Linked DNA regions of Coturnix japonica. The protein of the gene in region 2 purifies or fractionates together with the protein of the main gene of each other region. This does not show direct contact. Links are inferred from orthologs where the notes say so. Each region holds a gene or a part of one and is shown on either strand. Other genes may lie near its edges.

The links.
Region 1: the proteins of TUBGCP2 (region 2) and MZT1 purify together in Homo sapiens (affinity purification with mass spectrometry; 4 studies listed by BioGRID and IntAct, counting the BioPlex papers as one, with this or other methods). This does not show direct contact. The link is inferred for Coturnix japonica from reciprocal best matches to the Homo sapiens genes TUBGCP2 and MZT1.

What each region holds. Positions count from the first base shown.
Region 1 is NC_029516.1:140,207,065-140,214,502, forward strand, and holds MZT1 (mitotic-spindle organizing protein 1), read left to right. Parts: upstream 1-3,127; 5' UTR 3,128-3,228; coding exon 3,229-3,277; intron 3,278-3,455; coding exon 3,456-3,601; intron 3,602-4,632; coding exon 4,633-4,656; 3' UTR 4,657-6,867; downstream 6,868-7,438. Other genes in the region: BORA (protein aurora borealis), read right to left, coding at 1,485-1,591, 2,289-2,444. UniProt on the Homo sapiens protein: Required for the recruitment and the assembly of the gamma-tubulin ring complex (gTuRC) at the centrosome.
Region 2 is NC_029521.1:5,964,035-5,971,545, reverse strand, and holds the start of TUBGCP2 (gamma-tubulin complex component 2), read right to left. Parts: upstream 4,006-7,511; 5' UTR 3,939-4,005; intron 3,933-3,938; exon of another isoform or gene 3,648-3,932; intron 3,506-3,647; 5' UTR 3,487-3,505; coding exon 3,337-3,486; intron 2,659-3,336; coding exon 2,530-2,658; intron 2,366-2,529; coding exon 2,189-2,365; intron 1,197-2,188; coding exon 1,037-1,196; intron 398-1,036; coding exon 190-397; intron 1-189. Other genes in the region: ZNF511 (zinc finger protein 511), read left to right, coding at 4,006-4,149, 4,224-4,297, 4,477-4,678, 4,761-4,885, 5,050-5,214, 5,663-5,732. UniProt on the Homo sapiens protein: Component of the gamma-tubulin ring complex (gTuRC) which mediates microtubule nucleation.

The DNA of each region.
Region 1 (7,438 bases), on a different chromosome or scaffold from region 2:
TTTTTTATATGCCTGCTACTTCTCTCTGACAGAAAAAGGTGCTTCCAATCTCTCTACAAACAATGCAGTAGGCATATAGCATAGATGGCCAGTTCACAAAAACAGTTATATTGCACAAATCTAAGTCTACACAAGATGCACATTCAGACTTATGCTATGTACCTTAAAATGAGTCACCATACAGTTTTATATGCATTCAATCACGTACTCAGAAATAACCTCATCTGTCCATACGACACTGAAATAGGCAGCCATGGCCAAAGCACATCTGGACAGACTGAACACAGCAGGTATGAAGTAATGGGGCAGACTGAAAGGACCCACTGAGACAACACATGTTTATGTTTCAAATACAACAGTGCATGAATCCTTGTGAACAACTTTGATAAATCCCTTGTAGAAGGCCCCATTGGAGCTGCACAATTCCACTGTCAGCTCCTCCATGTTGCGAGCACAAAGGTTGAGGGAACTGGGTTTGTTTAGCTTGGAGAAGAGAAGGCTCTGGGGAGGGGGAACAGCTGTTTACATGGGAGGACAGTGATAGGACAAGGGGGAATGGTTTTAAACTGTGACAAGAAGGTTTAGGTTAGATATTCGGAGGAGGTTTTTCACTTAGAGGGTGGTGACACACTGGAACAGGTTGCCCAAGAAGGTTATGGATGCCCCATCCCTGGAGGCATTCAAGGCCAGGCTGGATGTGATTCTGGGCAGCCTGGTCTGGTGGTTGGCAACCTTGTACATAGCAGGGAGGTAGAAACTCAATAATCATTGTGGTCCTTTTCAACCCAGACCATTCTATGATTCATTCTACGATTCTATGTCTATTGGCCACAGCACTAACCATCAGCTAAACTGTCACCTAAGGTGCATTAGTGTCAAATACCCTCCCTCAATAAGATCCATGACTACTACCAAGCCTGTTTTACTTCAGTCATTTGCTGTACCCATAGAAAGACTCAAAGAAAGGAAAGTTAAGATAAAGACCCTCAAATTATTCTAAGTAACTAGTAGTCTTCTCAAAAAGAGCAAGATTATTGGCCTTTCCTCCCTTATGTTAATTCCAGTCTGTACCTTTCAAATAGTACTGCCTTTGCCAGCTCTATCCTTCTGCAGGCATCCCAAAGATACTTATGCTTCGCAAGTCCCAATACTGTACACTCCAAGAAGATAAATAGTACTGTGACAAGAAGAAGGAGATACAGCCAGATAACAGTTATTGGCAAGGCATTTTTCTTGCTTCTGCTGACTGCTGTGTCTGGCTGCCCTCCAAACTGCAATCAGAGAGATCTGCAGTTCTTAAAATGAAAAAACAGCAACCAGAAGTGGCTTCATCTAAATACTATATTCACATCAGGAATAAGAAAATGTATGTTGAAAAACCTGAATGAAGGTTCTTTAACAATGTAAGAAATGTCACTAAAGCAAATGAACAGTGTTCTGCTATTCAAGCTAAATCAACAGCATAAAGACAGATGGTAAGTTACCTAGCGTGACTCAAATACATTGCTTGGCGTCGGATATCTTCTGAGTCAATTTCCACAGGATTTATTAGAGCAAGCTGATCAATAGACCACCTAAATTTTCCTGGTGTCTGAAAAAAAAAGAAATAGTCACGTGAATACTTGCTGGTCTGATAATGTTTTTTTAAAAAAGGCAACTAATTCAGACTTTTTTTTTTGTCTTGATGGTGGAATTAAAATTAATTATGAGATAATATTAAGCAAAAGAGTACTACAAACAATTAATAACTGAAGTGTCATGTTATTCCCCCTCCATTTCTGAGAACAGGCCTACTACAGATCTGAAACATGGGATTAAGTTTAGTTGCTTCTCCATGGCCACAATGAAAACTGTGGCTCCCTGAAAGCACTTCAATAATCATCCAAGCCAGGATATCGAAATAATACAGCAACCTTCCTTTTACTTTACATTTCAAAGGAGACAGAGGACAGTCTAGAAGCAGGCCACAAAGGGCACTGTCAGGCATAGATCATAAGATCCAGTTTGGGAACAAAGCAGTCTCATCCATTGAAGTAGCACTTCAGTACAAAATAGTGAGCAAGTAGCACTTAGAAAAACGATCTAACAAAACACTGTCTTTTTAATCTCATTATCAAGGTGCGAAGACCAAATTACAGCGTTAGCATTAAAAGAAGCTTACTGAGGTAAATGAAAGAACCACAAAACACCCCAAGTTCTTTGGGTTTGCATACATTAAATCAAGTAAATACACTGTGTTACGTGTTTTTATGTGTCGGCACTACATAGAACAGAAAATGAGCTCTTACAGATGAAGATTTTGTTGATTTGAAGACGGAAGGACTGGAGACAATCTGCTCCTGAAGGGTGCAATAATCGCTGGGGCTTTCGAAAGGATTCAGAACTGTGACCCGCCCAGGAGTTTCGGGGCTGATCTGCATTTGGGCTTCTTCTGTATCGCCCATAGCAGTGAAGCTGTGCCTGGGGAAGAGAAACAGAAGGAAATGTGAGGGGAGGAAATTACCATTCTGACTCGTTAGGGTCATTCTAAGAATTTCAACCCATGACCGGTCATTCAGAAGAGACAGAAAACTCATAACGGCAAAGCAGATTTTGGCTTGGACCAGTGAGAAGCAGATAAACGAGGCTGGTACAAAGACGGAGCCTAGAAAGCAAAGCCAAAGGAAACGAGGTACTGGAAACCAGCATGGAGGAAACCAATCGCGTTCGTGCCAGGTGCTCCCGTACCGAACGGCGGGGCCTCAGAGGAGTTGTCAGCCCCACAGCGAGGCGGCTCCCCGCTCCTCACAGGCCGAGGAACGCACACAGCGAGCAGCAGAGGCCTAAAGCCACGTATTCACGGGACAGCTGTACCAAGGGCCGCCACCACGCCACCACCCCCCCACTCCTCAGGCCCAGCTACCGAAGCCCCGCTGCCGCGACGCGCACTCATACCCGACTCCAATTAAAACTGCCCGCCTCCGCCGAGCCGGGCGGCTCTTTAACCACCTCCCGCCCCTTCCCGAATTCTGCCCAATCAACGCGCGCCGCAGCCGCCGGCGAACCAATCGTAGGCTCCCCTCCGCTCACGAACGGGCCAATCGCATGCAGAGCCGCTGCACAAATTCGAACGTTAGCCCGCCCCCCACCTTCCTGCTGTGAGCGGGAGGTTCCGCTTGGGCCTGGTGCGGAGTCCCGGAATCACGTGAGGTTGGGGTCGCTCCTTCTGCTTCCGGGTGGGCGGTCGCCATGGCGAGCAATGCCGCCAGCCTCAACGCCGTGAGGGAGACGATGGACGGTACGAGGGAGGGGCGGGAGGGGCCAGTGGGGTTGGGGATGCGGCACTTGTTTGTAGATACATTGGTTTGCTTGAGGTTCCATAACTGCCACTTCCATGCTGTACAGTAGAAATTCAGCTTTGATTAATAACTTCTTTGATCGCTGTTGGGGCTAATTTGCTTTCTTTTTCCTTGCAGTTCTGTTTGAGATTTCAAGAATATTAAATACTGGGTTGGATATGGAGACCTTGTCTATTTGTGTGCGGCTTTGTGAGCAAGGCATCAACCCAGAAGCACTGTCTTCTGTCATTAAAGAACTGCGTAAGGCTACAGAAGCTCTAAAGGTAATGCCATTCCCTAAAAAGCACACGGTTTTAAAAGAATCAAATCTTTGGTTCAATTTGCTGTGCTTCTTTTCCTTTAAAATTAAGAAAAAAATCAACAAAACAGATTTCTCTTCTTGGTGCTTTCAGCCACTATTTCCCTTTATCTGCTTCATGTCCTGACTGGACTGTAGCTTTCTTCTTCAGCCCATATCAGCTCCTTATACACCCTCAGGCCTCATAGTATGTATCACAGAATTATCAAGGTTGGAAAAAGACCTAGAAGATCATCCAGTCCAACCATTACCAATACTTCCCAGCTAAATCATATTCATCAACACAACATCCAAATGTTTCTTGAACACTCCCATGGTTGGTGACTCCACCACCTCCCTGGCAGTGCATTCCAATGCCTGACTACCCTTTCTGTAGCAACACTTGTGAACAAGTTCATGAAGCTGTTGTGGCTAACAGTCTCCACACATTGCTGTCACCTCATTAACCTGTGCTTTACGTCTCTCCAAAGACAAATCACAGCATTTCATGGTGTGTGTGCATTGTAAGTACTAAAGTATAAAAAGCCACATGTAACTATTTGGTTAATAGGGAAAATAACTATAGTTAAAAAATTCTCATTTGCCCTTTAAAGGATTTTGATGCTTTGCTGTCTACCTAACCATCATGATTCCTTCTCCACTACATCTTATGTTGTTTATTTATCTGTTTTTGAAGGCTATGTTCTGATTCTTAAAGAACTCAGCTTTCAGATTTTACAATCAGACTTTTTTTTTGCATAATTTAAATTTTTATTTTATTTTTTTATAATTTCAAACTCTTCTATACTTGTGTGTATTTTTTATTTGTGTATGTGCTTAAATGTGTGTACACAAGCTTAATTGTGCATATACATTGTTGAGGGATGTTCTATTTCTTTTCTATTTTTTATGTCTTACTTGTGTTGCTTTCATTTCTCTTTTTATCTCATATCTGGGCTTCAAATCTACAACATAAATGATGTCTGCTTTTGGTGACAAATTTTTTTTTTTCCCTAGGCTGCTGAAAATATGACAAGCTGATGTGATAGAATCCTTCTTCATGAGAAGAGTTCGAAGTTGTAGAGCTGATAAAGAATTTGAACATTGGCTGCTACTTAGAAATACGAAGTCAAATTATATCTGGAGGTTTCAGAGTATCTCTAAGTCATCTTGAAAAAGGCAATGTATGGAAGAGCTTAAAGTTGGGTTTTCTTAAATAGGCCCACCAGTAATCTTACCACACTTGAATACTTGGTTATTTTTATGAACCAGGGGTGAATTTTAGTGTAACTGCCCTTCAGCATGTAGGATTTTTAAACAGTGTCAGAGATTGAAGGTTTGCTGAAATTACTAGTGTGTAACAGTGAATGTTATCACGAATATGGCTTGTTAACGCATTCTTTAGAAGTGCTATTGTGTTCTGTTTATTCCTGTTGTACTAGTGTGAAAATATGTGGATGCTTTTATCTGTGGTAAAGGTAGGAAAGAAGTCCCTATTGAGCTGATTTTAATTAGAGTACAGATGATGACTTAAATGACTTAAGTCATGTTCTGAAAGTAAGAAATAAAGCACTTTTGATTATCAAGATAATGACTTGTCCTTCTAATTCTGTTGGAAAAAGAGTTTTTAACTTGTTTTAGAAAGGAATTTGGATGTATGTAAATTTGACATGTAGATAACGTGGAATATCAAATGCTGTTTGCGTATGTTCTGAACACTCAACCTGAAAATATTAAGCATATATTGTTAATTACTAGTCAAAGCATCTTACAAGTAGGGGCTGATTTAGTTGTGTTAAACAGTCACTTGGTGTAGGGGAGTCTTCTCCTTCAGCACAAACAATATCCACTGATGCAAAAACAAATCTTTCTAGTGTATGCATTAAGCTACTGAACAAATTATCATTCAGTGAATCTTTTGCATCCAGGAGTTATGCTTCTTCATAGGAAGAAAATTTTCTTGTGTTTGTCCTCTGCTGCTGTTTTAGCTTTTCCAATTTTTTGTTAGACTGTTTTCTAAGTAGTGGTGTTAATAGAACCCAAAGCAGGCTGACAGGGGAAGCACACGTAATAAAGATTCAAGGTTCATCTTTTGTGCGGACGGAAAAGTTCTTTTGAGTTTACATCACACATTACTCTATCTGGGTCACAGCTTTAGAAAACATGATAAATATCTTTTATTTCCTATTACTCTGGCCAAGAAATCACTCCAGAAAGGTGTAGAATCTGTGTTAAAACTTCTGAATACTGTGTGTAATGTTTTCAAAAGTATTAAAGAATCTACTGTATGGAAAGATTGACAATAAATGTATCCTAGAAAAATGTGAGAAATCAGCAAAGACTGAAAATGTTAAAATACTTAAAACAAATAAGCAGTTGGTTATTTCACGTTTAACTGGACTCAGTGCTGCATGTCAAAACCAGAAAAGTATTCTTGCAGTGTTGACAGGTTGTCATTTGTTTCTGAAGAGAATTGCGGAACTAAAATTTAAACAGCAAATGTATCCTCAATGCTTCTGAAATTAGAGTGCTTGTGCATTGGCAGTGTATTTTTCAGTTCCCAGATGTTTAGGTAATATAGTAATTCTGATGGCTTCCCTTGCCACTCCTATTCATCACTTTACTGCTGAAAATACACAAATGTTTCTAACTTCTGTTACATTTATTGTGGTTTCAGTGTTGATTTTATGTCCCTGAAATGTTTATAATCAGCTTGCAAATGCAATATGAGTGCAGTGCTGCCTAGGTAAGTTGTGCTTGCCATTTTAGCATTGATGAACTTGGTTTTTACGCACTTAAGCCTTTTTCCAGGACACTATGTCTCAAGCAGAATTATAGAATCAGGGCATGTTTTAGACATTCAAAACTTAATTTGACAGATATAAAATTGTATATAATACTTTTCTTATCACATAGAGCAAGTGGTAATGTTTAACTTAAATGTAGGGAGTCAAACACCTTGAAGTCTTGAAAACAAGAATAGCTATACTGGTTCCAGCTAAAGGTTTTTTTTAACACAATAGCTTTTCTTCTATAGTCAAAAGCAGATGCCTGAGGAAGAATAAGAACAATGCAAGCATGTTTGGTTCTTTTCCTTCTGTATTCTAGCTTCCAAATGTCTTCTATTCCAGGCTTTCCTGGACATCATATGGTTTGTCTATTAGCAATCTCTAATGCTGTTTTTTCCAGTACTTGTCAAGTTTCCCTATGACTGTATATGCTTCTTGAATAAAAACAGCTTGTATCAAATGATGTCTGTGACACAGGGAACTGTTGCCATTTGTTTATTTTGAACCTGATTTTTACTATCCTTATGTTCCTATGCAGTAGACATTTTAAGTATGGTGGTTGTGCCAGTCATGATTCTGCAGGTATAAAATTTACATTTAAATTTCCTCTTGGTTCTACTGTAACTAATGCTGAAATATGTTAATTTAAATATTCTTTGGCTGCTCAGAGGTGTGGAATAACTTCTGCATTTGAAACTTTTCTGTCTCCTTTTTTGAGAAGGGAACCTTTAGATATGCAGACTGGCCTATTCACTCTTTTAATTCCCTTCCTAGGATCCATGTGTACCCCTTTTTTTTTATCTATACTGAGCTTTGTCTGCCATTTTATTTCCTAATCAGTGTCATATTTTTGGAGTATCTCACAGTTTTCCTGTGGTTTTACTGTTCTAAGTGCTATATGTAGCATAGCTGTGAGAGCTTAAGCACAGTCATGAGTTTCATGGGAACATAGGTGGGTTCTTTAATTACTGTTCATTATTACTTACAGGTGTCTGTGTGAAATGGAGGTAAGGTATGTTTGAATTTATGAAGGA
Region 2 (7,511 bases):
GAAGGAAAATGCCAGCACAAACATACGTAGCCAAAGCCATTTCAAATAAATAACTACTCTTTATTTTATATCCCTACAGGTTTAAATCTAGCTTGGACATCATCATCTGCAAAATGACAGATTCCATGTTCTGCAGCTTGATGCTTGAAGGAAAATATCCCCCACTGGGAGGAAATGACAGCTCTGTACCTGGTGACAGCAGAGTAACTTGCTGCTACAGGAAGAATCCTGGTCACCAGCTCTTTGATGGACAAGTCCAAATTTGGATCGACTAAAAATGTTCGGTTCTGCCTGCCAACAAGAGGCTGTGCTGTGATGTATCTTCCATCCACACCAATCAAAACATACAGCAAGTCCTCCACAATCATGGATTCTTGGGATGCTAATGGCAGAGTACCTGTTTTCAAAGAGACAACAGAAAAGAACATAACCAGAACATGCTGCAGTACGTCCAGATCTTCCATTCATGATGAAGCCTAAAAGGATGACATACTACCACTCAAAGAGAACAAGGGAAGATTATACAAAGCTGAACCAAGATACAGGGAAATAAAACTGAGTTACAGTCAAATCCAAAATCTTAAACCTTGCTGTCCAGGAAAACAGAAGCCTTTGCTCATCATTTAAACCCAAAGTAAATCAAGAGGACAGAGATAAGCATCCATCAACCATGGCCAAGAGAACATCACTTGCACTGTTTGCTCTTCCACCCAAATAGGCTCAGTTACCCTGGATCTGAGTTCCAGTCTTGCCAACATGCTTAAAATCCCCATGCAGCTTCACAAACCATTTGACAACGAGGAAACACTCAAGAATGAAACTACTTGTGATCACTGTTTTCATGTGTCCCTTAGACCAGGCACAAATCCATGGCAGGAGGAAGCTACAGGATTCCTGCAGGTGCATCTACCTTCTTAGGGAAGATTTCAAGGAGGCAACTTTTGCTTTCATCCTAGTTCTGACAGAATCTGAATGGAGCTTCTGAACAAGTACAAAACGTATCACGTTAACATCATTTTCACTGTGTATCACATACCTATAGGTACCGTTACGTCAGTGCTTAGAGCAGTGCCTATTAAAAAATCACCAATAAGCGCAGGCCTCTCATACACCCAGGATGGAAGAACTGGAACAGGCTGGCCTGAATTCTTCTTGTTTTGCTTATCTCGGAGCATTTTTCGTGTAAGCTCAAGGGGCTGTTGAGAAAAAAAAGAAAAAGAGAGAAGAATGAAGAAGGAGAAACTGACTGTAAACCGATAATTTGAGAATAGAAAGTGGAATAATTGATATTTCAGTAGAACAAGTGTAGGTGTACTCTCTTGGTTTCATTCAGGCTACTGGTCTCAGTGCTGCAGAGGTGAATTTTATATAGTTGGCCATCTTCTTATTGGCAGATGCATCACATAATGCCTTGTCATACCCCTCCCACCAGCCTTGGTGCTGTGGCATACACACAGGAGCAAAACCGGGACGCTTACAAGCTCCAGTCACCTTATTAGTTTGCAAACTCCACCATGTAAAAGCCAACAAATTAATTCCAGAAGAAGAAAGCAGCAACATCTTATCCAAGGAGCACTTGCAAACAGGCTAATGACCACCTCTGAAATCAGTTTCAGCACACTGCCCGTGGAGTAGCTGCACATGAAATGCCATCAAGATAATACACCAGTGGAAAATGACAGTGGTTTTGCTCTGATTGTGAAGGAAGTGAGCTTTTACAAGACCATAACAGTCTCCACTCATGGCTCTGGATCTCTGTCAGTAAAATAATTATGGTGAAAGACTAATTTTCAGCTGGAGAGGTGATGTATAACCTACATAATTGCCAAAAGCGCCATGCTTTCCATAGCTGCCAAAAGGGGACATGCTTATGAAAGCCATTTCTTAAGCTCCACATGTATGTGAAATGGGATCTGCAGAGGGTCATTTTATTTTCTTCTCATTGAAGGTCACTATGCCCCAGTGAGAACTGCTGTGGCCTAAACTCGCCTGACCTTACCTGACTTCAATAAAAAGGCCACTTTTTGGAATAACAGCACAATGATTTAATATAATTTGACTAGCACCATTCTGAGAGCAGATTTAGATGGATAGTAATATCTGCAGTTCCCCTAGATGTCAAAAGTTAAGAGCACAGCTACATACCAACAGCTGGGAAAGATCTCACATGTAAGGTGAGGGGCAGTACCTGCTGTGCGCTGGAGTTGGCTGTGACGGTGCCAAGCTGCTTGCGCAGCTCCTCAAGTTCCTGCAGAGAAATCTTGGAAGTAGATGAGGGGATGGAGAAATTTGTGCTGCCACCAGCTGCCACGTTTGCTGTGAGTTCCGCCCTTTCTTTAGCATTTTGTTGCAAATACTGGAGTGTCTGTATACACACAAAAGAAATTTTGTGAGCACTGGTCAGCACACACTGCAGCAAAGCTGTATTCCAATGAATATTATAATCTGACAGCGTGCATATTTAAAACCACTGCATTGTTGCTACTACCAAGGAGTTATAACATGCTCAGTTCTAACACAGAAACAAACCTCTTTGTCTTCTGTGAGCTTTGAGAGCAGGTACACCAAAGAATCTAAATGTCTTGTATTCTTAGACTTCAGTTCATCGTATTTCTTTAAAAAGTCTTCAGGAGTTCTAGAAAACTCTGCTATTTTTACCTGTAAAAGACCACAGGAATATTTAATGTTTAAGGTAGATTATCATTCCAGCATTCCAGAGCAGAGCATTGTGCAAGGAGGGAAACAAGGTGCAGGCCACTGCTGCCAGCAAAGTGCTTCAGGGAATAGGTCTTGGACTGAACAATGCGGCACTGGCCTCGCACTGATAATTAAGATGGACTGATTTGGAATGTATCACTCCTTCTGAGTTCTTCTTAATACCCAACCTGAACTTCCCCTGTCACAACTTAAAGCCATTACCTCAACCTTTTGCTGTTATCTGGGTGCAGAAACCAACACCTACCTTCCCAGAACCTCCTTTCAGGGAGCTATAGAGCAGTAAAGTCTCCCCTGAGCCTCCTTGAGGCTAAATAATCTCATATCCCTCAGCTGCTTCCACAAGACTTGTGCTCCAGACCCCTCACAGCACTGTTGCCTTACACTACAGGGCGTCCATGTTTTTCTTGTAGTGAAGGTTCCAAAACTGAACACAGCATTAAGGTGCAGCCTCAGTGTCAACTACAGAGGGACAGTTACCTCCCTGATCCTGCCCACTACACTGTTTCTGATACAAGTCAGGATGCCACCGGCCTTCATGGTCACCTACGCTGGCTCATGTTCAGCTGATGGATGGATAACTCCGCGAGGGACCAATGCAATGCCATTACTCTGGCCCACCTTAGCACTGTGAGCAGACACGGAGGTGGTGACGTAGGGCGTGCGGTTCTTCTGCAGCAGGTCGATGTACACCTCGGCCCCCTCACCCCCGTGCACACGCAGCAGGCTGAGCAGCTCGTTGACATCGTGGTGGATGCGGAACTCACTCATGGCGCGAATGAAATCCAACCTAACATTGGATACAGGAAGAAAGGCAGTGAGCTACGTTAGTGCTTTGGTGTAAGCACAAGAATAACGCTGCACTATAAGCCCATAGGGTGTGCTGGATGGGCACAAAGAAACTTATGGGAGTTGTAAGACAAGCCCCTCACCCTGCACGCTACTGCCCTGCTACAGACCAGGCCTAAGCGTGGGCAGCAGCTCTTCTTTGCCTTCCAGACACTATGGGAGGCCTCAGTGTGGAGCGCCGACCCGACCGGCTGCATTCAGCGCGGCCTGCTGTCCGGATCGGAACCACAGCGTTACAAACGACGACACCGGGCTGGTTCTAAGCGGCTCCCCGCACACAGAACCCAGAGCAGACGCACAGAACGAATCCAGCCGCCCCACACCCCGCCGTCCCGCGGCTCCTCTCCGTCCCCATCCCGCTCCATCCCTCCTACCCGCCCGGAAGCCGCCGCCGTTGCCGCAGGAAGTGCTACGGGCGCCTGCGCGGCCCGGTCCGGTCCGATGCTGCTCTCCGTTCTCCGCCGCCGCCTGCGGGACCGCCCGCCGCTGCCCCCCGCCCCGCCGCCCGCCTCGGCCCCGCCGCGGGCTCCCTTCGCCTTCTGCCCGCGCCGCCTGCGCCTGGACCCGCAGCACCCCCTGCTCGAGGTGAGGCCGAGCCAAGCGGGGCGGGCGGCCCGTTGGCCAGGCTGCTCCATGACTGCCATGTCCCCCCGCTGCAGGATGGAGACGTGCACAGACACCTGTACCTGCGGGAGGCGCTCACGGGCCGCGCCGAGGAGGCGGAGAGGCCCAGGTGAGCTGCATGGGACAAGAGATGAGCCCCCACTGAGACCCTGCCCTGCACACGGAGCTGCTGGGCCCCCTGCGAGCTCACAGGGACCCGAGCATCTGGGGCAGAGCCTTGTAATAAGGCTTAAACGTATAATATACTACACGCTGAGGATGCACTAATGTGCTGTCCTTCCCTTACAGGGTGTCTGAGTTCTGCTGTCACATCTCCGGTTGCTCCCAGGTGTTCGATACACTTGAGGGCTACGAGCACCATTACAACGTGCTGCACCGCAACGTCTGCTCCTTCTGCAGGCGGTCGTTCCCTTCAGGGCACCTTCTGGACATCCACATCTCCGAGTGGCACGACTCGCTCTTCCAGATCATGGCTGAGAAGCAGAATATGGTGAGGGCATGGCCCGGCCCCTGCTGCCACACGGACTGGCTGTTCACCCTTCCCAGGGGGTGTTTTCTTTCCTTTCTTTCAGTACAAGTGCTTGGTAGAAGGCTGTGCAGAGAAGTTCAAGTGCAGCAAAGACAGGAAGGATCACTTGGTCACTGCTCACTTATACCCTGCTGACTTCCGATTTGATAGACCAAAGAAAGTGAAGAGGTAACTGCAGAATGGCAGCAGCACAGCTGCTTTTTCCATGCTCAAGTGATGTGCTTCTCTGCTGTCCCATTCCTTTCTAGAGTCCTCTAAAATCCCTTTCATTTTCTTTGCTCCTTGCTCGCGTTTCAGCTGCTGAGAATGGATGTCACGTTTTCTTTCTGCAGTGGTACCAAGCATGTGAGCTGTCCCACAGATGATGGGAGCATGCTGATGGATGTCAGCATGGAGACCTCGGAGCAGCTCGAGACGGACCATATGGAAGTACCCATGGAGAGCACAGAGCCTGCAGCCAGCCCTTCAGTACCAGAGAAACGCCTCTATAAATCCAGGTCTGAGCCAAATGCCTGCACAGGCAAAAGTTTCTGATCAAAAGGTCACTGAGGCAGCACCTGAATCATTTATTGATCACTTTAATGGCCTCTAAGAACGTCATGTTCTTTCTTGAACTATCCCAGTTGGCAAAGGGATGCTTGTACTTTGAGTTTGAGATGCCAGCGTGGTCCATCCAACAGAAACCTGCCCCTCTATTTGCCCATGGGGCCACACCTTTGCACTTGCAGCTTGTATCTTGGAGAGATTAGTCCAGTTTGTATTTGTATCATGTTCCCCAAAAGATTACTGTTTTACCTCCAACACCATTGCCTTGCATTCCTGGGCTAAGTCAGCTTGTTCTTTTAAAGCATGACCGGTGCTGCTAGTTGACTATCAGCAGGACTTCTGCTGATAACAGAGGGCAAAGATCTCACAAATGCATGTTAACTGGTGTCTCTGTTCCAGGATCCCATCCACAATCTGCTTTGGACAGGGCGCTACCCGAGGATTTAAAGGCCCACGTAAGAAGGTCTAAATGTCAGCACAGCAGACTTGCGCAAGACCAGAAGGCACCAGCAATTGTTATCAGTCACTGCATCCAAGCAGGAGTGTTTGTCATTGCCTGCAATGTAATGGGATGTGAAAAGGAGAAAAGAGGGGTGGTGCAAAGCAAAGCACAGAACTCACAGCTCCCTGTCCCTGTGGTCCCCTTACAACTGTGACATTCAACAAATGGTCCATAAAGTAAAACAATGGAATCACAGGAGGCTGTTGGTATGGCATTTATCCAAGAAGCTGAAGGTTTGTAATTGCTTCGTCCCCATCCTCACCAGGAGGAACAAAGGCTAAAAAAGGCCTTGAAAAGTCCTTTCACTGTTTATTTCAGCTGACCTATTTAACTTCCCTGGTGTTGAGGACTAAGTTTGTGAACTTACAGCCCTCAGCAGCTTCTAACTCAATTGCTGCAGTGCACTGCAGGGTGTATGTGCCATGTGCATGATGGGGCGCACCCACATGACCCACACCACTCCCCCATGCAACCACACAGCACGGGCAAAGTGCAGTGCAAGGCTGTTGCACAGGCAGAAGCACCATGGGTCCTTGCAGTGTGACCATGCTGCTGGGTGCAGCTCTCCTGCTGCTTGCCCCCGGAGGCAACCAGGTGAGACCACAGCTCCCTGTGGCCCGGGGCCAGGCATAGGGCTGGCTCTCACCTCGCCCTTCTCTGCTGCAGGCTCTTGGCGGTCTCAGACAGGACGTGGACGTGGAGCAGAGTCTGGCTAAGGAGACGTAAGAGGGGCTACAGCCACACTGCATTCACTGCTGGGTGCTGCATTGTGACTGAGATTGGGCTGGGGAAAGCAGTGGGCAAACATCAGTGGGCAGCCTGATGTACTGGCTGGCAATCCTGCACATATCAGGGGGGCTGAAACTAAATGATCATTGTGGTCCTTTTCAACCCCAGCAATTCTATGATTCTATGATTTGGTGCTTTGTATCATCCTTGCTGCTTTGAATTCCTAACAGTTAATGGGCTCCCTGCTCAGGCATTTCTCCTCGAGTCAAACCCTCCGAGATGTGTGGCCCTGGTTTTGCTTCGCTTTGTTTCAAAGCTGCTCTTGCTTCCCTTGCAGCAGTGCTGCCATGGTGCCTATGCCACTCGCGAGACAAGAGCCCACTAATCCATGTTTTAAATCCAAATGGACCCACTCGGCTCTCAACAGGCACTGATAACATGGGGCCAGCCTCCATGACCTGCTGCCCTACAGGCCACCTCTGCTTCTCTTACAGCATCCAGGCTCCACAGGCAGTGGAGAAAGCCAGGCTTGCCAAGGACACTGCTTCACGGCCTCTGTTCCTTCCAGACCCTGCTCGGGTCCAGGTGGGGCCAGAGCAGGACCGTGACCATCTCTATCACCCTTCGGACAGGGCTGAGGTGGAGCCTGAACCCCAGTTCCACAGAGCACGCATGGTTCTGTCGGCAGAGGTGGAAAATGGTCCCTCAGAGGACCGTGACCACCTGTACCACAGCTAAGGGAGGCTGCAGCCCTGCCCCCACCATGAGCCCCCAATAAACCTCTCCTTGTTGAGCAGCAGGTGGGTGCTTGGTTTCTGACAGGAACAGGGGGGTCCAGCAGGCCAGGGGACTCAGCCAGTCACCCCAGCTCCCATTCAGCCCATGGGAAGGCCTGGCTCTTTTAAAGGCTCTCAGCCATCTCCAGTGCTTTTCAATGTGGAGGCTCCTAACAACAATGATGATGCACCAGCAGCACCAGGAAAGCCTTTTAATAGCAGTAACGAGCCAAAACCCTAC